2 linked regions of the Saccharomyces cerevisiae S288C genome follow. The gene in region 1 interacts genetically with each later gene. Each region holds a gene or a part of one and is shown on either strand. Other genes may lie near its edges. The genes, in order: ILT1 and PFY1.

What was found.
Region 2: mutations in ILT1 (region 1) and PFY1 impair growth when combined (synthetic growth defect), as found in Saccharomyces cerevisiae (2 studies listed by BioGRID, with this or other methods).

What each region holds. Positions count from the first base shown.
Region 1 is NC_001136.10:622,905-638,550, forward strand, and holds ILT1 (Ilt1p), read right to left. Parts: upstream 3,095-15,646; coding exon 2,162-3,094; downstream 1-2,161. Other genes in the region: VTC5 (Vtc5p), read left to right, coding at 1-1,817; RLI1 (Fe-S cluster-binding ribosome biosynthesis protein), read right to left, coding at 3,804-5,630; E2 ubiquitin-conjugating protein UBC13, read left to right, coding at 6,972-7,001, 7,270-7,701; aminophospholipid-translocating P4-type ATPase DNF2, read left to right, coding at 8,378-13,216; histone demethylase GIS1, read left to right, coding at 14,235-15,646.
Region 2 is NC_001147.6:547,610-557,574, forward strand, and holds PFY1 (profilin), read right to left. Parts: upstream 5,279-9,965; coding exon 5,266-5,278; intron 5,057-5,265; coding exon 4,689-5,056; downstream 1-4,688. Other genes in the region: RTC5 (Rtc5p), read left to right, coding at 1-951; protein kinase RIO1, read right to left, coding at 1,183-2,637; glycerol 2-dehydrogenase (NADP(+)) GCY1, read left to right, coding at 3,505-4,443; Paf1-complex subunit LEO1, read right to left, coding at 5,567-6,961; ubiquitin-specific protease UBP2, read right to left, coding at 7,215-9,965. UniProt on the Saccharomyces cerevisiae protein: Binds to actin and affects the structure of the cytoskeleton. At high concentrations, profilin prevents the polymerization of actin, whereas it enhances it at low concentrations. By binding to PIP2, it inhibits the formation of IP3 and DG.

The sequences.
Region 1 (15,646 bases):
TAGATAAAGCAGAGAATCTAGGAAGGTTTTTATTATCGTCCGAGGACATAGAGGGACTGAAGTTCATGCTATTGAATATTGGTTTTAGGATAATTGACGATAGCATCATATCCACTTCAAAGGAGATTTTAGACACTACAGATAATATTAATTCTGCGGGCAACAAATCTATAAGATCAGCAAAGTCATTCAATGACTTACAACATACCTTATCCCTATCTAAACAGAAGAACATATTACCCTCTGCTGTACAATCCAATGAGAAGTACGTTTCTATTAGTATACTAGATACTGTCGGGAACGAAGGCAGTCCTTTACTACTTACTGATGATAATATAAATCAGCACCCAAACATGATAGTCAGCTCTACTGCTGAGGATACTTGTATAGTAATGTGCCACGTGGGCGGCTTAAGAAATCATGTTGTCACAAATGATCTGCTTCTAAGGGATGTAAAGAATATTCTTTCGGCCATGAGGAGTGGCAACGACACAAAAAATATTAGCGCTCTCATAAACTCACTGGATCCATCGCCAATCAGTAAGATCGCTTTGGAGTGGATTCAGTCCCATCGATTAAAAACCATTGAACCAAAGCTAGATTTTAAAAGAACAAGATTCATATCAGCAGACAATGGAGATATATACTTGATAGCTTTGGATGAATCTATCACTATTGGAAATGTATCTACATTACCCTTTCCAATTTTAGAAATTAAAAAGCTTAGTCGATCCAGTGGTCTTTCACAGACGGCTATTAATGAAGACAATAAGTTTAAACAGTTAATGAAATCAGTTGTTACAAATGAGTTTCAATGCAGCTTAATACCACCAGACTTAACCACATGGAAAATATGTTTAGAATTAGTACACTCAAATGAATTGCAAAATGATTTATTTCAACTTTTACTAAGAGATCAATATAAATTAAATTCCGATGATTCGCTATCACCTGATGAATTTTTCCAGCTGGGCAAGGATCGTCTAGAGGAAGAGTTTGACCTGACTGGGCCGATAAACAACTCACAAGGTAGTGTTGACAGCGGCAGAAGAGTTCGAATTCACAAAAAATCAAAGCAATCGGATAATGAAACTAAAAAGAAACCTATTAGGTATTGGAATGAATTTGATGAACAAGAAGAGGATAATTTAGACAATGCTTTTTACATTGATACTAATGGAAGCAGGAGTACAACAGATAACGAAGAATCCTTACTTTTGAGAAATTCTCCGCCTGATTATGGGTTTATTTTGTTTAGCCGGAATTTCATCAACCGCACATATGATTTTTGTGAGAAGTTACGAAACTTGATTCGCCATGACAAGAAAACATCGCCAGATTTGTTTCAAAACTCTAAGCATCCGCATTGTTCATCAACTAACTATGGTTCTGTTGCGTCATTTGGTTCACAATCAACTTCAGCGTCATATGATGACGTTCAAAGGTACTTACAGTATCAACAGCAAGACATAGAGGACTCACAATCTATCTACGAATATAGGCATGACGAAGTTGTTACATTTTTATACTTGTCTGCACTGCTAACATCTTGCATTATGGCAAGTGTATGTCTGGGAATCGTTTTATCCTTGTTTCGCGGGCAAAGTAATAATGAGATAGATTTAGAAATTCAAAATATTCTCATAGCCATTATTATCATTTCCTTACTGGTTTCCCTTATTTTGATCTGTGCGTGCCTGTTGTTGTTATTTAGTCGGTTCACTTTGGCGCCAATCTGGCATTATGTTGGTTGCTTCACAATGTTTTTCTCAGTTACTGGAACAGTGTGCTATGGTATGATTGAAATTTTCTTTTAATTATTTTGGACGATAAAAGTTTTTCATGTGTACAGTCTATATAAAATATGCATATCATGTGGTTACATAAGAAGAATGTTAATCTTGTTTGGAGATTTTGTTTTTGGAAACTTCGCCATTGCGAAGGGTGTTGCAAACTGAATTTCTGTTTAAGTTTTTAATTAATAATCCTTATTTTGATCTTTTCTGATGGCCGTGTTTGAACGCATAGTATTGTGAATATAAGCGAAGTGAAAACCTTTACACCTGCGGCAGATGCCATATTACTGCGCTAGTGGTGAATATTATTAAGCGTGCTATCAAAAAGAGATGAAAACGTGCTAACTAAAAAGGACTCAGATTCGTTACACACTTAGCCTCGAATAACGATCAGGATCTGTTCTAACCACAACTCCATGGACAGCATGCAATGTTTGGGCTCTTGATAACGTCCCCCCATCAGTACTATCGTATATATTAAAATCGTCTGCAAAGCTCGAAGCATCGTCGGGGATTGAACAGTTATCCAGGTTATAGTTAGTAACATTTCGGTCACTCTTGCTAATATCTTGTTCGATTTTTTCATCGGGTTCTTCCTTTTGAGCTTGGCCACTTTCTTCGTCAAAAGTATTGCCTTTAGCTAGGAATCTAAACCTACACCACCATATGAAATGAGACGCGAAAATTCCTAACTCCATTCCAGCAACTATTGAGTATAATATAATACCCATAATATCCATATTACCTAGGATAACACTGATGATAGATAGCCAAGCACCTAATGAATCGATGAATAAGAAGGCAAAGTTGATGCCAATAACACGACCTTTCCTTTTGGCTAGTTCAAAGTAAGGTGGAAGCAGTCCGACAGCTAACAAAACAGATGCAGAAATACCAAAAATCAGATCGGGCCATTTAACACCCTTCTCGTAAAGGGGCCTCAGCCATAATATAAAGCCAACTTCCATGCCAACATCAGCCGCAATAATAGCAGCTACAATCATTACTATTTTGGATCTCGCCATACTGATTGGTGGATAATAACACGATTGGACGAAACTTATAGAACAGAAGAACATAAAAAGGTGTGGTTGAACTTGTAAAATGACATTACCTTTACTAACACAGAAATATATGGCAAATGGAATTCCGGAAACAACCCAGAGGAACATCATCAGTGGTGGCAGCCCCGTACAGTCCTTTTTTTTCCAATTATATATTATTTGCGGAATTAGCTGGACACACCAGCAAACTGTTGCTATAGTAGCTAAAGCGGTAGCAGCCTTTTCAGAGATCATGAATACCTTATTCTTAAATCTATGTTATGTTATAGTATTCCACAGTTTATATTTCAGCGGTTAATTTGAAAATAGAGATCAGCGGAAAGTAGAAGGCACCAGAAGGAAAGCATTATTTATATGAGTTTCGTTTGGTACGAGAAGTGTGATACAGAGGTAATCTACCTATCTAGTCATTGAAAAATGCTATCAAGAAACGGCGTTCTCATATTACCCGAAGCACCTTATCTGGCGCTCACACCGCGGAAATAATTGGGTGATATTTTAGACAAACGGACTTTAATGTCATGCTAAGATAAACGTTCAGTAATGCAGCAAATGCTTATCATGACGACTCGTTTACAAGGTAAATTCGATTACGAAGAAGGTGCGGACAAAATAACGATTAATTAAAATACAATAGGTATATAAAATAAATAGAGAATAAATATAGTGTAGTTGCTTTACAGAAAAATGAAATAAACTGGAGTACGGATCACCGAAGAGGAGGTTGTTCACTTTCAGGTTATGATGTAATGAAGGTGGGAAGTTAGAAATGTATTAGTTGGCGTATATCTAGAAATAAACAACCCGATGCTTGGGAAGGAACTCAATGTAATATAATACTCATTTTGTTTTGCAAAAACATTATAACTCTTAATTATTTCTCCACATTTCTAAACCCAAAAATAAAACAATCGTCCTCTTGGTTCTCCGAATCCCAAGATGCTTAAATACCGGTGTTATCCAAGAAAAAGTAGTTTCCTGATGATTTTTGTTCTTTATCCATTTGGGAATCTAGCTTATTAATTCTTGGTCTGAAGGAGTTTGGATCCCTTCTGAAGGTGACATTCAAATTCTTCAAAAATCTGTTACAACCAGTCAACAAAGATTCAGGGGCTCTTGCGTGAGCATTCTTGGAAGGAATACCTTCAAAAACAATGACCTTATCAGCAAGATAAGTAGCCATGATGAAATCGTGCTCGACAATAAACGCAGTTTTCTTATTATGTAAGATGAATCTTCTGATAACTTTAGAACAGATAATACGTTGTTCGGAATCTAAGTAGGCAGATGGCTCATCAATCAAGTATATGTCTGCTGGGATACCCAATGCCAAGACGATGGCGACTCTTTGTAATTCACCACCAGACAAATGTTGGACTTCTTGATCAATAATATCGTCAATCCTTAAAGGTTTAACGACATCAGTCTGAAACTGTGGATTTAGGAATTGTCCTCTAATTTTCTTGAAAAACAATTGTCTGACAGTACCTGGGAACTTTGGTGCAATTTTTTGTGGTTTCATAGAAACATTCAATTTTGGAATATCTTGTCCTTCATCTGGCTTCAAAGCACCAGCTAGTAATTTGATCAAAGTGGTCTTACCGGTACCGTTTTCACCCATCATAACAAGGATTTCGGAATCGGAGAATTCACCTTCTTCAACATTCAAAACAAAATCACCTTGAGTTTTCTTCAAACTTGGGTAAGAGAAGGCGCGACTAGCAGAGTCATTCTGCAAGTCTTCGGTAGCATCAGCTATTCTAAATTGTAAAGCTTCAGTTCTGAATCTCAGGTTTTCAGCAGGAATATGACCGTCCAAGAATATGTTGATACCTTCTCTGACAGAGGCTGGTAATGTAACAACACCGTAAACAGATGGAACACCATATATGATACAAACGAAATCGGAAAGATAATCCAAAACTGACAAATCGTGCTCAACACAAATAACGTATTTAGTTGGAGCTAGTAAAGATCTAATAATTTGAGCGGCATTCAAACGTTGCTTAACATCCAAATAAGATGAAGGTTCATCGAACATATAAACATCAGCCTCTTGAACACATGACATACCAATGGCAAATCTTTGCAGTTCACCACCAGATAACTTTTCAATATCTCTTTTCAAAACGTTTTCCAACTGTAAAATTTTGATGTAGCGTTTCACATCTTCAGGACTTTTTTCCATTCTCAATTTCAAAAGTTCGCCAACTTTTTGAACCGGACCTTTAATAGCACGAGGAATGTTATCAACATATTGAGGTTTGATTATAGCCTTGATATCATCTTCCAGCATCTTGGTGAAGTAATTTTGTAATTCAGAACCACGGAAATATTTAATAATTTCCTGCCATTCAGGAGGATCATCAAAACGACCTAAATTAGGTTTTTGTTTACCGGCTAAGATTTTCAAGGCGGTAGACTTACCAATACCGTTGGTACCGACTAAACCAAGGACTTGACCCGGTCTTGGTGTTGGCAATCTGTGCAGTTTGAAACTATTGGCAGAGTAACGGTGAGTTACATGGGCTTCTAAATTAGTTGGCAAATTGATAATTTGAATAGCATCAAATGGACATTTCTTAACGCAAATACCACAACCAATACACAAGATTTCGGAAATGAATGCGATTTTTGAAGTTGGAGTGACTTCAATACATAATTTACCAGTTTTCACAACGGGACACGAACGTTTACACTCTTGACGACACTTTTTTGGTTTACATTTATCAGCGCTAACGATAGCGATACGACTGTTTTTATCACTCATTATGGTCTGTCGTGTTTTCTTAAGAACTTTTGCAGAAGGCTAGGTGGAATTCGCGCTGAAACAGATCACAATGAAGATCTAAGAATACAGAAACAATAAAGGTTAATGCCCAGTTTTACATTTTTTTTTTTTCACTTTCACTTTGCTAGCGAGCGATGCGATTGAGAAAAAAAATAGAAAATTTTTTCAGTTGCAAAACTACCCGGCTAGAAATCTGGTTCGATGCACACGAGTAACAAGAGATTGTTTTTCTATCCATGGTATTTGCTTATGAACAGGTGACTGAAGCAGCGTATAGTCATGTTCAGTCTTTACTATGTGAAGGGTAGGATGCTAATGACCGGCTCTTTCTTATCCTCCGCGGTGTTTTAAACGATGCTCCTTTCAAGTACGCTATTCCGTACTATTTTTTACTGTGATAATTTGATCATCAACAACGACGAAAATGACACGTCGGCGGCTAATTTGATATTTCTTTATTTGTGTATTTCCGTTGCAGATACGAGGGCGTTTTACATGACATCAAACTATTAGGAAAATCCTTTTCCAATTCAGTTTGTAGTAAACCATGATAGGCCACAAGACATTTTTTTTCAACTGGGGAGAAATTTAACAAGGACGTCTTTTTTTATTTAGACGATAAAAAACCAAGAAACAAAACTAGTAAAGGTTCTTGGAAGCATTTATCTGGATGCAAAATAATCGTTATTCTTGGGCATGCTGACAATGCTGAAAAAGTTATCCAAACAAAGTAGTCAAATATTCAAGATCACTATTAGATCGCTAAACATTAATTTCTCATTTTGCGACGATACTTTTTTTACAGAATATAAATTCATGTTAATTTTGAGATATTTAAGCGTTTCATCTCTTTTTTTCTGGGCTAAAAAAGCTTTTCGATGTCTAGAAATACTACCAACAAATACTTGAATGCAGAACAAGAAGGAAAAAAGCTTGATACTAGTCAAGCTTAATGATTAGATTCTGCGGGAGCCGCGGGAACAGAAAATACTAACGTTTTAAATATCATTTAAAAAATTACCAAAGTACAATAAGCAGTTTTTTCTTTGCCTTCTCTACATGTGAACAAATATAATGGGCATCTAACAGGAATTTGTTTTCCTTTAAACCATCAAAGAGAATAGTTCAGTTAATTATGCCGCATCCGTATTGTTACCCGAAATTATGGTGTTTTTAAAACAAAGGATAAGTGATTCATTGAAAGATGGCGCGCCACCACGAACCAAAACACCTCTATAGAGAATAGTACTTTACACTCTTCTGTTCTTTTTTTTTCCAATATTAGCAAATAAGGTCAGGTTCATTGTAACATAGTTAGAAATGGCATCATTACCCAAGAGAATAATCAAGGTATGTTCAAACAAGAGCAGTGGATTATATACGAAATCTGAAGTGACGTTTTCGTCTGAGCCGTCACACTCTACACTGTTTCCTCTTGATAATGGCTAGAACTTACATACTAACGCAAAACTTCCAAAACAAGAAGGCTTTTTTTGTCCAGTTTGTAGCAGCGTTCCGCCTTCCCTTTGTCCATATCCGCAAACGCTCATATGGAGGGAATTCAACAGAACAAACTACTAGGGCAGAAAACGCAAAGTCTTTGTGAACTTTCATATAGGAAACTGAGAAATTAGTAAGTGACCCAGTACCTGGCATTACAGCAGAACCACATGACGACAACTTACGTTACTTCCAAGTAACAATCGAAGGCCCAGAACAGTCACCATATGAAGACGGTATTTTCGAATTAGAATTATATCTGCCTGACGACTATCCAATGGAAGCACCGAAAGTACGTTTTTTAACCAAGATATATCATCCCAATATTGATAGGTTGGGCCGTATATGTCTTGATGTGCTTAAAACTAATTGGTCACCCGCTTTACAGATCAGAACCGTCCTGCTGTCCATTCAAGCACTGTTGGCTAGCCCTAATCCTAATGATCCGCTAGCTAATGACGTCGCTGAAGATTGGATAAAGAATGAGCAAGGTGCCAAAGCTAAGGCTCGCGAATGGACGAAATTGTATGCAAAGAAGAAACCCGAGTGATCATTTCTGTATAAGTTTTCTCAACTGAATATATAAATATATATCATTACTATGCTGCTGCTGCTGCAAAAAAAAAAAAATTTACGATAAATGCAAAAACCATAGATGGTCATCTAAAGAGGCGCATTTCTCAAAAATGTAGCGTCGCTAAAATGGTTTTCTCTACCTTTAGTTTTACGCCAGATTTTTACTAGACGCGTTTTAGTTTACTTTTTCCTACCCTGTTCGTTTTTTTTTTTTTTTTCGCACCAAATTTTTCAACCGTTCCATGGAAGCCGGGATCGACCGTCCTACACTAATGTAAGCATTAGTCCGCTCGAGGGTCCACGTTTAATTCCGGATCATAAAGTTTTTAATGTATTTCTTGTTATTATCGCTTTTGTTGATCTTACCTGCTATTGCATAGAGACAGACAATAGACAAACCAGATTCATCGCTTACTCGGTGGTTTACCTCTTAGTATTACTTTCGCTGCTTCTTTCTGCTGTGACAGAGTCTCAGGTGAAACAAATTAATCAAAAGAGTTGATTAAACGCAAGAGCGTTGAGAGAGTTTAAAAAACCATCCGTTTCTTTTTCTATTTGCTTTCACATTGTTCGTACTTTGTTCCTTTTTTCCTAATCCTTTTAATAATAGAATTCTTTAAAAAGAATCATAGCATAAACTCAACACATATATGTCAAGTCCCTCCAAACCCACTTCTCCCTTCGTGGATGATATTGAGCATGAATCGGGATCAGCATCTAATGGTCTGTCGTCCATGTCACCATTTGACGATAGTTTTCAATTTGAAAAACCCAGTAGTGCGCATGGAAATATTGAAGTAGCGAAAACCGGCGGTTCTGTTTTGAAGCGACAATCTAAGCCAATGAAAGATATTAGCACACCCGATCTCTCAAAAGTTACTTTTGATGGAATCGATGATTATAGTAACGATAATGATATTAATGATGATGATGAACTCAATGGTAAAAAAACCGAGATACATGAACACGAAAATGAGGTGGATGATGACCTCCATTCGTTCCAGGCAACACCTATGCCTAATACTGGAGGCTTTGAGGATGTTGAGTTGGATAACAATGAAGGTAGCAACAATGATTCCCAGGCAGATCATAAGTTGAAAAGAGTACGTTTTGGTACAAGAAGAAATAAGTCAGGTAGGATAGATATAAATAGGTCAAAAACATTGAAATGGGCCAAGAAGAACTTCCACAATGCTATTGATGAATTCAGTACAAAAGAAGACAGTCTCGAAAATTCAGCCTTGCAAAATAGGTCTGATGAGTTGAGAACAGTTTACTATAATTTACCCTTGCCGGAGGACATGCTTGACGAGGACGGCTTACCGTTGGCAGTTTACCCGCGTAATAAAATCAGGACTACGAAGTATACTCCATTAACATTTTTTCCCAAGAACATTCTTTTCCAATTTCATAATTTTGCCAATATTTACTTTTTAATACTGTTGATTCTAGGTGCTTTTCAAATATTTGGTGTGACAAATCCAGGTTTTGCATCCGTTCCCCTAATTGTCATCGTAATTATCACTGCTATTAAGGATGGTATCGAAGATTCCAGAAGGACTGTATTGGATTTAGAAGTTAATAATACAAGAACACATATCTTAAGCGGGGTGAAGAATGAAAATGTTGCTGTTGATAACGTTTCCTTATGGAGGCGTTTCAAGAAAGCGAATACAAGGGCATTGATTAAAATTTTTGAGTATTTTTCAGAAAACCTCACTGCTGCTGGTAGAGAAAAGAAGTTACAGAAAAAAAGGGAAGAATTACGAAGGAAGAGGAACTCGAGAAGCTTTGGGCCACGTGGGTCTCTGGATTCAATTGGTAGTTACAGAATGTCTGCCGACTTTGGTCGTCCCTCTTTGGATTATGAGAACCTGAATCAAACAATGTCACAGGCTAACAGGTATAACGATGGTGAAAATTTAGTTGATCGAACGCTACAGCCAAACCCTGAATGTAGGTTTGCCAAGGATTACTGGAAAAATGTTAAAGTTGGTGATATTGTTCGTGTTCACAATAACGATGAAATTCCTGCTGATATGATCTTATTATCGACATCAGATGTTGATGGCGCTTGTTATGTGGAAACCAAAAATTTGGATGGTGAAACAAATCTAAAGGTCCGTCAATCATTAAAATGTAGCAAGATTATTAAGAGTTCAAGGGATATTACCAGGACGAAGTTTTGGGTTGAAAGTGAAGGCCCACATGCCAACTTGTATTCTTATCAAGGTAATTTCAAATGGCAAGATACACAAAATGGAAACATCAGAAATGAGCCTGTAAATATCAATAACTTATTATTGAGAGGTTGTACCTTGAGAAACACTAAGTGGGCCATGGGTATGGTTATTTTTACTGGTGACGATACCAAGATTATGATAAACGCTGGTGTCACTCCAACCAAAAAATCCAGAATTTCAAGAGAGTTGAATTTTTCTGTGATTTTGAATTTTGTACTATTGTTTATCCTATGTTTCACTGCTGGTATTGTTAACGGTGTTTATTATAAACAGAAACCTCGATCGAGAGATTATTTTGAATTTGGTACCATTGGAGGTTCTGCCTCAACTAACGGTTTTGTTTCTTTTTGGGTGGCGGTTATTCTTTATCAGTCATTGGTTCCGATCTCTTTATATATTTCTGTGGAAATTATTAAGACAGCACAGGCTATTTTCATTTACACTGATGTTTTGTTGTATAATGCCAAGCTAGACTATCCATGTACACCAAAGTCGTGGAACATCTCCGATGATTTGGGTCAAATTGAGTATATTTTTTCAGATAAAACAGGCACCTTGACACAAAATGTGATGGAATTCAAAAAATGTACTATTAACGGTGTGTCTTATGGACGTGCCTATACGGAGGCACTAGCAGGCCTGAGGAAGAGACAAGGTGTTGATGTCGAATCGGAAGGTCGTCGCGAAAAGGAAGAGATAGCAAAAGATAGGGAAACAATGATCGACGAATTAAGATCAATGAGTGATAATACACAGTTTTGTCCGGAGGATTTAACTTTTGTATCTAAGGAAATTGTGGAAGACTTGAAAGGATCCAGTGGCGACCATCAACAAAAGTGCTGTGAACACTTTTTGCTGGCGCTCGCATTATGTCATTCTGTCCTTGTGGAGCCAAATAAAGATGATCCTAAAAAACTGGACATCAAGGCTCAATCACCTGATGAGTCTGCCTTAGTTTCCACCGCCAGACAATTAGGGTACAGTTTCGTTGGTAGTTCAAAAAGTGGATTGATAGTAGAGATCCAGGGTGTTCAAAAGGAGTTCCAAGTTCTGAACGTACTTGAATTCAATTCGTCGAGAAAAAGGATGAGTTGCATTATCAAGATCCCTGGCTCTACACCAAAGGATGAACCTAAAGCACTGTTAATATGTAAAGGTGCGGATTCCGTTATCTATTCAAGATTAGATCGCACTCAAAACGACGCTACTTTGTTGGAAAAGACGGCCCTCCATTTGGAAGAATATGCCACAGAAGGTTTAAGAACATTATGTTTGGCTCAAAGAGAGCTCACGTGGTCCGAGTATGAACGTTGGGTTAAGACTTATGATGTGGCCGCTGCATCCGTTACTAATAGGGAGGAAGAGTTGGACAAAGTTACTGACGTTATTGAACGTGAGCTTATTTTGCTTGGTGGTACGGCCATTGAGGATCGTTTACAAGATGGTGTTCCTGATTCGATTGCCCTCTTGGCCGAGGCCGGTATTAAGTTATGGGTCCTAACGGGTGATAAAGTGGAAACTGCCATTAACATTGGTTTTTCCTGCAATGTTTTGAACAATGATATGGAATTATTGGTTGTGAAGGCTTCCGGCGAAGATGTAGAAGAATTTGGTAGTGACCCTATTCAAGTGGTTAACAATTTGGTGACAAAATACTTAAGGGAAAAATTTGGCATGAGTGGATCCGAGGAGGAGTTAAAAGAAGCTAAAAGAGAGCATGGTTTGCCACAGGGAAATTTTGCTGTCATTATCGATGGCGATGCGCTAAAAGTTGCTTTGAATGGTGAAGAAATGAGACGCAAGTTCTTGCTACTGTGTAAGAATTGTAAAGCTGTTTTGTGTTGCAGAGTTTCTCCAGCACAAAAGGCTGCAGTGGTCAAGTTGGTAAAAAAGACCTTAGACGTTATGACCTTGGCCATTGGTGATGGTTCGAATGATGTAGCCATGATTCAATCGGCGGACGTTGGTGTTGGTATCGCGGGTGAAGAAGGCAGACAAGCTGTCATGTGTTCTGATTATGCCATCGGGCAGTTCAGATATGTGACAAGACTGGTATTGGTGCATGGTAAATGGTGTTATAAGAGACTGGCAGAGATGATCCCACAGTTTTTCTACAAGAACGTTATTTTTACGCTATCCCTGTTCTGGTATGGTATTTACAATAATTTCGATGGGTCGTATTTGTTTGAGTATACGTACTTGACATTCTACAATCTTGCATTCACATCCGTACCTGTTATTTTACTAGCAGTACTCGACCAAGATGTTTCCGACACCGTTTCGATGCTGGTGCCACAGTTGTACCGTGTGGGTATCCTAAGAAAAGAATGGAACCAAACCAAATTTCTTTGGTACATGTTGGATGGTGTATACCAATCTGTGATATGCTTCTTTTTCCCCTATTTGGCGTACCATAAAAACATGGTTGTAACTGAAAATGGCCTTGGACTAGACCACCGTTACTTTGTCGGTGTCTTCGTTACAGCAATTGCAGTCACTTCATGTAACTTTTACGTCTTCATGGAACAGTATAGATGGGACTGGTTCTGTGGCCTATTCATATGTCTATCACTGGCCGTGTTTTACGGCTGGACGGGTATATGGACAAGCTCGTCGTCAAGTAACGAATTTTACAAGGGTGCGGCGCGTGTATTCGCACAACCTGCCTATTGGGCAGTACTTTTCGTTGGCGTGCTGTTCTGCCTACTGCCAAGATTCACCATTGACTGTATCAGAAAGATATTCTATCCGAAAGATATAGAGATCGTTAGAGAAATGTGGTTACGCGGTGATTTTGACCTCTACCCACAAGGCTACGACCCTACGGACCCTAGCAGGCCCAGAATAAACGAAATACGTCCCCTTACAGATTTCAAAGAGCCCATTTCACTGGACACTCATTTTGATGGTGTCAGCCACTCACAAGAGACCATAGTCACAGAGGAAATACCAATGAGTATACTCAATGGTGAGCAAGGCTCGCGCAAGGGGTACCGTGTCTCTACCACTCTGGAACGCCGTGACCAGCTCAGCCCCGTTACAACAACGAACAACTTGCCTAGAAGATCAATGGCCAGTGCCCGCGGAAATAAGCTCAGAACTTCGCTGGATCGCACAAGAGAAGAGATGCTTGCCAACCACCAACTGGACACAAGATACTCCGTGGAAAGAGCACGTGCCTCGCTGGATCTGCCGGGTATCAATCATGCAGAGACGCTGCTCAGCCAGCGCAGCAGGGACCGTTAATGATTACAATTTTTTTCTTCCTTTGTACTATGTATACCAATGTGATATGATATAGATTTCATATAGGATGTGATGATGTGTATCACCCGGCACGGCTCTACCCCGCCCTGTGGGGTGTGGAGAAAACGCCGCGCAGAGCCTTGAGTAGGAAGGGGCTGGGTTCTCCCCTTCCTGCCGGGGTCCGCCCGGCGCCAAGAGTAAGAGAGCGAAGCCGGAGACGTAATATGAAAAAAATTTTGAGGGGAAAGGGCGTCCGCAAGGGCAAGGGCAAGGGGAAGGGGTGGCGTTTTGTGCTTCAAGGAATTATATTTCGTTGTTTTCCGCACTATGGCGGCATTGTGGCAAGTAACTACTTTACGGAGAAAGACTAGAAAATGGTTACAACTGCCACTATTACCGCTTCGCATTCTCTTGTCTTACAGGTCCCTTGAATTGGCATTTACGTTTACATCCGATCCGGTTTTTCACCAAAGAGAAAGGAAAGGAAAGGTAAAAATAGCAAACCGAAAAAGAAAACAGTATTTTCTCTCTGTTTAGGATTATTACCACTACTTACTGAAGAGAAGTTTTTAACGTTTATCGTTTGTGTTGAGGTAGAAGTACAAACGCGTGTGTGAGTTGTGTATTTGAAATTATTATCCTTCTACGCATATCGGGAAAAAGTTAACGGAAAAAACAAGAAGAAAACCTCCCCCCTCCTCCTCCCGCCATACAGAAGGCAAAAGAAGTTGGTCTGTTAGGAAGAAAATAGCCAAGTAATAATACGTTTGGCCAGTTGTATTTTTTTTTTGTTTCGCTAAGTCTCTTGCTTACAGAAACTCTTTGCCCACCACATATTTCATCGTTTTTCCTTTCTGTTCATCATTAACCTCCATTTCCCAATTTTTTCCAATTTTCAATTTTTTTCACTATTTGTTTCTTTGTTGGGCGTTTAAAAAGTATTTGCTTCTACAAAGTGAACAACATCGTTGTAATTTTTTTTTTTTAATTTGAAGAATAGCTACAAAAACAGACTACAATGGAAATCAAGCCAGTTGAGGTTATTGATGGCGTTCCGGTTTTTAAGCCGTCTATGATGGAGTTTGCAAATTTCCAATATTTCATTGATGAAATTACTAAATTCGGAATAGAAAATGGTATTGTCAAAGTCATTCCTCCCAAAGAATGGCTGGAGCTTTTAGAAGGCTCACCTCCTGCGGAAAGTTTAAAGACTATACAACTAGACTCCCCGATTCAACAACAAGCCAAGCGATGGGACAAACATGAAAACGGTGTATTTAGCATCGAAAACGAGTATGACAATAAGTCGTACAATTTAACACAGTGGAAGAACTTGGCCGAAAGTCTAGACTCTCGAATAAGTCAAGGTGATTTTAATGATAAAACTTTAAAGGAAAATTGCCGCGTAGATAGTCAGCAGGATTGTTATGATTTGGCACAGTTACAAATTTTAGAAAGTGATTTTTGGAAAACCATCGCTTTTTCGAAACCTTTTTATGCAGTGGACGAAAACTCTTCAATTTTCCCCTATGATTTAACTTTATGGAATTTGAATAATTTGCCAGATTCTATAAACTCAAGTAACAGACGGTTACTTACTGGTCAGTCTAAATGCATTTTTCCATGGCATTTGGACGAACAGAATAAATGCTCTATAAACTACTTGCATTTCGGTGCTCCCAAACAATGGTATTCCATACCGTCCGCAAACACAGACCAATTTTTGAAAATTTTATCAAAGGAACCATCAAGTAATAAGGAAAATTGTCCAGCTTTTATTAGACATCAAAACATCATAACTTCTCCCGATTTCTTGCGAAAAAATAATATAAAATTTAATAGAGTGGTGCAGTTCCAACATGAATTCATCATTACTTTCCCTTATTGCATGTACTCCGGATTCAATTATGGTTACAATTTTGGCGAATCTATTGAGTTCATATTAGATCAGCAAGCTGTCGTTAGAAAGCAACCTTTAAAATGCGGCTGTGGAAACAAGAAGGAAGAGCGAAAATCTGGTCCGTTTTCAAATTTATCTTATGATTCTAATGAGTCGGAGCAACGAGGCTCCATTACTGATAATGATAACGATTTATTTCAAAAAGTTCGAAGTTTTGATGAATTACTAAACCATTCCTCTCAAGAGTTACAAAATTTAGAAGACAATAAGAACCCCTTGTTCTCCAATATTAATATGAACAGACCGCAAAGTAGTTCTCTTCGGTCTACTACCCCTAATGGTGTAAACCAGTTCCTGAACATGAATCAAACTACCATAAGCAGAATTTCTTCCCCGTTGTTATCAAGGATGATGGACTTATCAAATATTGTGGAACCCACTTTGGATGATCCGGGTTCCAAGTTCAAAAGGAAAGTTTTAACTCCGCAATTACCGCAGATGAATATTCCGTCTAATTCTAGTAATTTTGG
Region 2 (9,965 bases), on another chromosome or scaffold:
ACTGTAATGCCCAATCTATTAAAACCATTAGAGAATTTAATGGAGCATTTTTTTTATTTGCAGCACGATTTAGTTGATCATGACACAAACTTATCGTCTATTCAGGATTCTAAAGTTATGACTCCAGCACTGTTGGCACAGTTATCGACGGGACTACCAAAGGAATTATTTATTCATAAGCTACAAAGTTTATACATCGGCAGGAAAAGTGGCTTCTCAATGAGGTCTTTGCAAGCAAAGGTGTTCAAATGGATGGCGCCTTCGATTTTAGTTGTTAGCGGAATGAGGATAACAAATTCTGAAGAATACGCAGCTGAGAAGAATCCAAGATACCGCCATTTTCTTGAAGAATTTCCTAAATTGAAAGAGTCAGATCAAATGATGGATGCATCGCATTTGAATAAAAGGAAAACTACTTTCGCTGTGTACATAGACGATCCGTGGAAAGTAACAAATAAAGATTATTTTGGCGATCTGAATACGAGAATAATAGAAATATCACCCAGGCAGGATATTTATAAAGTCAACCAAAAAGGCACGATCTATTTCAATACAATTGGTGGCGGAATTGGAATCGGGGATAAACAACCATTAATAAAACCAGCATCCAAGAGATACATACCAGGGAACGTGTCGCTTACTTTTGACAGCACATTAGAATTTGCTGTGTTTAGAAATACTGGTTACGGAGGTTCATTAGACCCTGGTTTATTGTCGATGGAAAGAAAGGAGGAAAATTCCCCTTATGAATTGCATTTTTTGATTCAAGATGTTGAGGTATGGGGCTGTGGTGGTGAGAAAGAACTAGAAGAGCAAATCAAACAGTTGGAATGGGAAGAAGCAGAATCTAAAAGAAGACAGCAAATTAACCTGAGAAGCTTGGGAGAAGACCGTGCCTTACTGGAAATGGCAGGTTTAGTTGGCCAACATCAAGGTGGCGGTTCAATGTGATGCCTGCCTTTTTTGCTGTTTTTAGTTATTGGGATTGATTTCACTAAAAATCAAGACCACTAAATAAGGCTATTGTTTATTTTAATATTTATTGCACTTGTATGAAAAGTACCAAACTTTTGATACTGATATTACACTTTTAGTCTTGAACTTTCTTCGTTAAATTGCTGACCTACTTTCTGTTCTTCGACTCCAAACAACGATTCCCAAATGTATTTTCACAGGGCCGCATTATTTCTTTGATTTCGTTTTTTTCACCAATTTTTTCTTGATGTGCTTCTTGACTTTTGTTTTCCTTTTTTCTCTTTTTGCATCTTTAGCTTCCTGCTTGCGCAATTTTTTTAAATCCTTGTCCTCATGTTTCTTCCCCTTTAAAACTTTTGGTTCATCATCGTCATAGTACTCGCCCTCCTCCTCGTCATCTTCTTCAGATCCGCTTGAGCCGTCTTCTTCATCATCTGAGAATTCCTCTGTGCCAGAACTACATTCGTGGTCAGCGTTATCAAATTCAAATTGCTCAGAAGCAGCAAAATTGCGTTCATTATCATGGGCAATCAAGCTTTTCAGTAAGTCAAACTTACCATCAGTATACCTATCAAAATCTCTTTCCTCTAATCCACCCAATGATCTAACTAAATGCAGCGATCTGAATATTTCATCTTCTGCCTCATCTTGTTCTGTAGATTTTATTGGTAGATTACTAGCAATGTATGCAACCAAGGCGCTAATATTGTTATAATCACCTTTAAATTTCTCCAAAGTTTCTGATATGACAAATTGAAAAATAACCCTTTCAGGGAAAATACTTATACCCATCTTCTCGAAATAAAGGTTAACGTTTTTGATATCCATCCTTAAAAAATCTAAACTCATTGGATGTTCAGGTTCCACACTTTGGGAAACATCGATCATATATAGTTTATCATCATGAACTATGGTGTTATACTCTGACAAATCGGCATGAACCAGGCGACAAACTTGGTACAGCAATCTCATATATGCCACCATTGTGTGATAATAATGGAAAATTTCATCACGATTCTTGTACGGATAATCTTTTAATTTAGGTGAGGCAAATCCATTACCTCGGCTTAAAAATTCCATAACTAAGACGTTGTTCTTAACTTCTATTGGCTTAGGAGCTGGAATGACGCCACTTTGATAAATTCTTTTCAGGTTCCTAAATTCCTTTTCAGCCCAAATTTTAATCATTTTCCTTGGATTATGTTGAGATCTGGAATTTCTAAATCTAAATTCACCATCAACATATCTTTCACGATCTTTGAAGACTAGGATAGAGGTCTTATAAATCTTAATGGCATATTCTGCACGGGATCCGTCTGTCTCTAAAACTTCATACTGGCCTGTTTCCTCATCTATTACGGGTGCCTTACCGGTACCTGCAAAAGCGTGGTAAACATTAGCTTCTTTCCCAGTACTTAAGCAACCGTTCAAATCTGCAATCACACCTCTGGTGACCATAGACTTCAAAAATCTCATAGTTCTCGGATCTAAGACATTTTCCACAGTCGCCCTATTTGCTTTATCCTTTGATGTTTTCGCTCTGCTGAATGATAATTCATCAGTTTTTATTTTGTGACTATACTTCTCTAAGAGCTGATTATTAATATGGTCCGAGGCACCTTGCGACACAGACAATGAATCAAATTTATCTTCCAAGGACATGACCTTCTAAAAATAACGGAGTTTGAATCTCTAAATCTGTTTTAACTTCTTTTTACTATTATTTTTAGTCTTAGTATCTCATCTCATCTCAATTTCTATATTCCACTATAAAATTTTTCACTCTTTCTGCGCGCGCCAATGTCCCCGCAACTACTCAATAGGTAACATGAGAATATTTCAGTTCGTAAGAGAGAAGAGATGAAGTTATTTGGGCTCTTTGCTCGAGGTTACAGAAGGGCCGCATTAGAGTGAATGAGCTGATGATATTTCGCCCAGTTCTACATTTTTTTTTTTTTGGAAGTATGACCTCTGTTAAATTTTTTTTTTTTTAAATTTCACTTTCTAAAGTCCCAGAAATCCGCTTGAATGTCTTACATATTGCAATGGATATGCTTGGGTGATCATACTTCCTGGCTTTAGATATTTGAAACTTAACTCTTGTCAACAAACTTCCTATGGAGTGTATAAGAATTGTAAGTTATAACACCGGCGAACAATCGGGGCAGACTATTCCGGGGAAGAACAAGGAAGGGCGGTCTTTTCTCCCTCATTGTCATAGCAAGGTCATTTCGCCTTCTCAGAAAGGGGTAGAATCAATCTAGCACGCAGATTGCAAACACGGCTTAATAATATGCCTATCAGGCATTCACCCGTGTGACGAATCGCACACCGCTGCTCTCCTTAATTCCCTAGAGTAGAAACCGAGCTTTCAGGAAAAGACTACGGCAGTAAAGAATTGCTTTACTGGGCGTATAAAACCGGGAGAATCAAGACATTCTAATGACTTGATTCAGGATGAGAGCTTAATAGGTGCATCTTAGCAAGCTAAAATTTGGACAGCTCTCATTACTAAATTAAGATAGAAAAATGCCTGCTACTTTACATGATTCTACGAAAATCCTTTCTCTAAATACTGGAGCCCAAATCCCTCAAATAGGTTTAGGTACGTGGCAGTCGAAAGAGAACGATGCTTATAAGGCTGTTTTAACCGCTTTGAAAGATGGCTACCGACACATTGATACTGCTGCTATTTACCGTAATGAAGACCAAGTCGGTCAAGCCATCAAGGATTCAGGTGTTCCTCGGGAAGAAATCTTTGTTACTACAAAGTTATGGTGTACACAACACCACGAACCTGAAGTAGCGCTGGATCAATCACTAAAGAGGTTAGGATTGGACTACGTAGACTTATATTTGATGCATTGGCCTGCCAGATTAGATCCAGCCTACATCAAAAATGAAGACATCTTGAGTGTGCCAACAAAGAAGGATGGTTCTCGTGCAGTGGATATCACCAATTGGAATTTCATCAAAACCTGGGAATTAATGCAGGAACTACCAAAGACTGGTAAAACTAAGGCCGTTGGAGTCTCCAACTTTTCTATAAATAACCTGAAAGATCTATTAGCATCTCAAGGTAATAAGCTTACGCCAGCTGCTAACCAAGTCGAAATACATCCATTACTACCTCAAGACGAATTGATTAATTTTTGTAAAAGTAAAGGCATTGTGGTTGAAGCTTATTCTCCGTTAGGTAGTACCGATGCTCCACTATTGAAGGAACCGGTTATCCTTGAAATTGCGAAGAAAAATAACGTTCAACCCGGACACGTTGTTATTAGCTGGCACGTCCAAAGAGGTTATGTTGTCTTGCCAAAATCTGTGAATCCCGATCGAATCAAAACGAACAGGAAAATATTTACTTTGTCTACTGAGGACTTTGAAGCTATCAATAACATATCGAAGGAAAAGGGCGAAAAAAGGGTTGTACATCCAAATTGGTCTCCTTTCGAAGTATTCAAGTAATTGTTTTTGCGTGTTTCTCGTATGATTGTAATATGTAGATAAATTAAACATAAGTATATCAAATGTCGATATTCTTAAGACTGTTTCGTAAATATGTTAAATACCGGATGTGACTACATATAAAAAGTGCGCCTTTTACAGTGATAATTAGCGTCAATCAATAAAATATTTGTAAAATAGGAAGCGAAATCCCGCAGATGCCAGAATAGGTGGTGTATAAGGCAAGAAAACTTTACCTGCATAAATTAGTATTGAACACCAATCAAGTAGTCAGCCAATTGCTCGACAATCTTGGTGGCCTCACCGGCTTGTACGGTTGGTGGATAATGAGCAATAATAACGGTTTGCTTAGTTCTTACACAAACAACACCCTCAGCATCATGTCTACCGTAGATACTTCTATCGTCAGCTCTCAACAACATGAACTTTTGGCCTTGAATATGCAAACCATTGCTTTGCAAACCAGCTGGATTGTCGAAGCCTTGAACAATTTCACCAATTTCGTTTGGTTGCAAAGATAGGCCACCAGAAGTAGCCCAAACAGCGTCACCTGCTCTCGAGTAGATGACAGCTTTGTCGACTTTACCGGTTCCTATTAAGTTATCAGTGTATGCTGTTTAAAAGTAGGAGAAAAAAACGGAAAGAAATTCATGTTTGAAATTTCATATGTTTTTTGATATTCCAGTTAGTAATTTACTCTGAGTGGTTAATCTTCGAAATTACGCGCATCAACAAAAATCGGGCATTGCCAAACATTGTCACACAAGCTAACCTCCGACTCATTTCTTTCTTAATCAATTGATAATTGTCTCGTTCACATACCTTGCCAAGACATAATTTGCGATCGTAGTTGGGTTTATGTTGTGTATGTAATTTATCTTTTCTCAAGGATCACACAGTTGTTTTAAGAAGGGAATGAGAAAGGGTCAACTGAGCTTTAAAAAGAAAAAAAATATTAATGCGGGTAATGAGTTTCGTACAAAGACATTTCATGGCGTGTTCTCGCCAAAAATCATGGTAAAACCTCCCACACAGTAACCTCATACTAAATACTACAACATGTCATCACTCCATTTCTTTGCGATTGTACATACTAATATATATAAACAAAGTAACGTCTCCTCTAATCCTCGTCTTCGTCGTCCTCGATGACCGCAACCCTTCTTCTTTTTGTCTCGCTCCTATCTTTTTCTTCTTCTTCCTCTTCTCTGTACATTGCTGCTCCTTCTCTTTTTAAATTTCTTAGACGAGAGGCGTTCTCTTCATCCGCGTCCTCTTCTTCTTCTTCTTCCTCATTATCATCCTCTTCGTCGTCAAACGCAGCCTCCTCTTCCTCATCGTCGTCGACTAAAAAGTCATCTTCTTCATATTCATTTCTTCTCGAGGCTCCATAGGTAGTGGGTGAATTTTGCTTTCTAAATCCCGTCTCAAAAGCGGCATCTGGGGATTCTTGTTTCTCCTTTTCTTTGAGCTGTCTTCTCCTTCTGTCTCTTAAAATCTGGCTTTGCTTTCTCTCTAACTCCTTCTTTTCCACTTCAGGATCCATACTTACAATGTATGTTCCAGGACCCTTGCTTTGTCTTTGGTTCCTTCTTATAACAGCTTTACTTAGTTTTTGATGTATTTTTGAATTCGTCGAAGTTGGAATAAACATCAACGTCTTTTTTATTTCACCCCCTTCGTAACACTGGATCAACTCTTGTTGGTCATGCGATACTGTCAAAAAAGTGTTGCTCGTATCGTTGACCAATATATCTGTACACTCTTCACCAACTTTTAGCGAATATGTACCGTCTGACCACTGCACTATTTGTGTATTTGATTCTTTAAAGACATGTTGGTCTTTGTCACGAGAGTATCTCCATCTAACAGTGTTTTCATCAATCAGGCGGTCGTCCAGTTGATCCTCCCTAGAAGCTGAATTGCTTGCCCTTTCGTTTACTTTGGCCTCAAAACTTGGAGGGTCGAAAGGAATTGGATCGATAGTTAAAAAGTTGGGAATTCTAGCATAGAAAATTTCGTTGTGAGACGCCGTTTCATTCACATTAGCTTTACTTGGAATAATATGTCTGACAAGCTCTACATTTTCCTCTTTAAAAGTGTGAGTAGTCTCATCTTGATCAGAAAAGTTATTAGCATCCTCACCATAAAATTTTCGGGTGTACATGGCTTGCTCCTCTGCTTCATCATCATCTAACCCGAGACTTTCTCTATGACGACTTCTATGGTTGATATTCTCTCCCTCGTCGTCTTCATCACTATCACTATCACTTTTTTCAGTCTCCGATTTTTTAACATCATCATCATCATCGTCATCATTGTCATCTCCAAATAAATCATCTAGTTCTGCGTCTTCTTCTTGTTCCTCTTCTTTAGTATCATCATTTCCATTGACTTCCTTGACATTATCATCTTGAGAGCGGCTTGTTTCCTCATTGCTTGTACTATTGGTGGTAACGCCGACGTTATTGCTGATTTGCTCCTTCTGTGGTTGATCCTGTGGGCTTTCAGATGACATCTTAATTATAGTCCAGTATATCTAATTGGATTACTTTGATTGGACGCACCTAGTTTACGCAACCTATCTACTTAACGACTTTCTTCAGCTTTCGTATTCACTTCTATGAGCTTGTTCTTTTTTTTTTTGTTTTTTCGTTTTTCTTTACGTAGCAGATAGTCACCCGTAACGATTGAATATGGCAAAGCTTTTTACATAATAATGGTACTTATGGCAATAGTGACATTTTACATAAACTCTTCATTGACTAAGACTACTTTAGAATTCTTTTCAATGGCTCAATATCACCTTCTTGTCCTTGTTTGACATATACTAGGAAATATGGAGTTGCAGTGTTACCCTCATTGAAATTGAAGACCTCCTCTTCCTGGACCTCACTGATGGTTTCATCATTGTACTTCCTCCAAATTCCATTGCGATTTCTGTCCTTGATATATATCCAATAGTGACCATAACTGGCCTCGCCGCGATGAATAAAAACCGAAAACAGTGAGTAACCATATTCCTTGAAATCGTCAAATTGATGGCTTATTTTCTCTTCCAAACTGTTGATATCATTGTATAATTTCATCAATTCATTATCGATATTTTGAACGTTGTTTCTCAGCGTCTTTATCACATCATTAGCAGCCTCAATTTTTAAAGGAGTTTTCTTTATGGTATCCGATTCCAATAGCTTGATACTCTCCAAAAATGCATCCTTCCTTGTAAGCCCTGAATCATCACGACTCAAAAGCTCTCTTTGTCTATTTTTCATTACCTTCAACTTTTGCTTCATTTCTTCTGTTTCTTTCTTTTTTGCCAACAATAAAGGGTTCTCTGTATCCGCGTATCTGTCCATGTAAATAACTTCTTTGAATGGTAAGGGCTCAATGGATTTAAACGGCATTAATCTTTCACGATCGTAATAAACTCTTTGGATTTGTACCTGCAAAATAGTAGGAAAAGTTGTAACAGCAACGGTACGTATAACATCACCATACTCTTCCATTGTCAGATATTCGTCTTTAAAATAAGAATCAAACGCATCATAAATATCTTTAGGATGATCGCCAATATTTATCAGTAACGATAGGAATCTTTCAACTTTCGTACGGACTTTATTTGTTGCGGACAAAGGAACAATACTTTGTTTAGTAGTACCATAAAATAGTTGCTTAACCAAGTCATATTGCTCGTTGTCTTCATCATATCGGATAGGCTCTGAACCGCTTTCTATCTGAAATAACACGTTTCCTATGCATTCAGTAACATCTTGTTGCCTACCCATTTCCAAAGCATTTTCTAATTGATCAGAACTGATTTTTGCCACACGCGTAGGTGAAGTTAATCCTGTTGTATCTTCGTTCTCACTTACTTCAGCATCATTCGATTCATTTTTTTTTCTGTTCGCATCTGTACCAACATCGCCATTAAGGCCATCTTCCATTTCTAAATCAATCAGGCTTGTATCCTTTATTTTTGTAGTAAATGCGTCATCCGTTGTTTCCTTCTTTGAATCCGAAAGAACTCCTGTTTGATCAACTACTTTATTGCCTTCCACTTCAAATTCTACTTCAACATTACTTGGAGCAAATGCCAAATATGCTAGCTCTTTTGAGGGTGTTACACATCTTTCTCTTGTATGAACCATCGCATAGAAAAGGTTGCGAAGTTGGTATATGAATTGAATAGATCTTTCCACTTCGCCTCTACTAATTTCTCTTCCACCAATTCTTCTAATATGCCCACTATTAGAGAGGTGGTCATTGAAATTTTCTACCGTTTTTTGATATTCCAATACATATCTTCTTAGTGGCGCAATGGAAAAGTAATATTGTAATAAAGAATTTAGGTAACAGGTGTTCCCGATATTATTAATGCCAGTTGGCCAATTTTCTGGCGGCAAGGAATTTGGATCTATCGTACCAGTTAGTAAGAAGTTGGTGATTAAAGTTGAATTTCTTTCTATACTGATTTTGGTCAATGCTGCCCTCAAAATAAGAAATTGGTCAGGCTCATAAACGTTTTCATCAAACCACTTTTGTTTAAAGATTTTCAAAATGGTTTCGTCAGAGGCATTTTCATTCACTTGAAGAAGCTTCAATGCCTCTTGGTAATCAAGCTTCTCTGGACCATAATAGTTGGAAAACTGTGGGCATTCCTCTGTTAAAAAATTGAACAAATCAAGGCTTCTTTTACTGATAGCAATGGTGTAAAGTGCTCTATCACAATCCAACTTTAATCCGGGAGAGTCGTTAATCTTGACCGAATATGCAGTTTTTATAATGTCTTCATCAACAGACTCGTCAATTGAAAGTGTGTCGTATGCCTGGGATAAAGCTCTGTAGGGCTCATGATCGACGTAAAATTTTAGTTTGTCAGATTTGGTATATTTGGCCAACAATCTTAGAGCATTTTTCAAATTTGTTAGGTGATTAGAGGTTACTTGGCTCTTATTTGATGTTTCATATTTGTAAATAGATAGCAAAGTCGCCTCATTTAATTCGGAGATGTTACACTCTTTAGGGTTAATTTTAAACATTAACAAAGCATTTTCTAGAGCTTCTTGGCCTATAATGTCCTGTTTTCCACAGTAAGCAATCAATTGATATGCCCCCTTCCTATTTGCAATGTATGTCAGTGCGTCAAAATACAGCCCAATATTTTCAGGATCCAAAGAAGACAAAGATTCGTAGTTTCTGATTATATCTCTATCGGTATAATAATGCGAAACGGAAAGATTAATAAAATGAGGTTCTGCGTCCAAAGGCGAATGAGTTTGCTCATTGGAATTTAATAGAATCCTTGCTCTGGATTCTCCCAATAAATGGAACCAAGGTAGTGTTGAGAAAGAAGTTTGTAATGAAGACATTCCCTTTACGCTTTTCGTATTTTTCAAGGGAGAATTAGGTGCCAGTAATGAGGTAGATAGTTGACCCCAAAATATCAGTTGTAAACACTTCCTCACAAACGATTCTCGAATTTTTCTTGTCTCCAAATCGTTTACATAGTCCACCATATC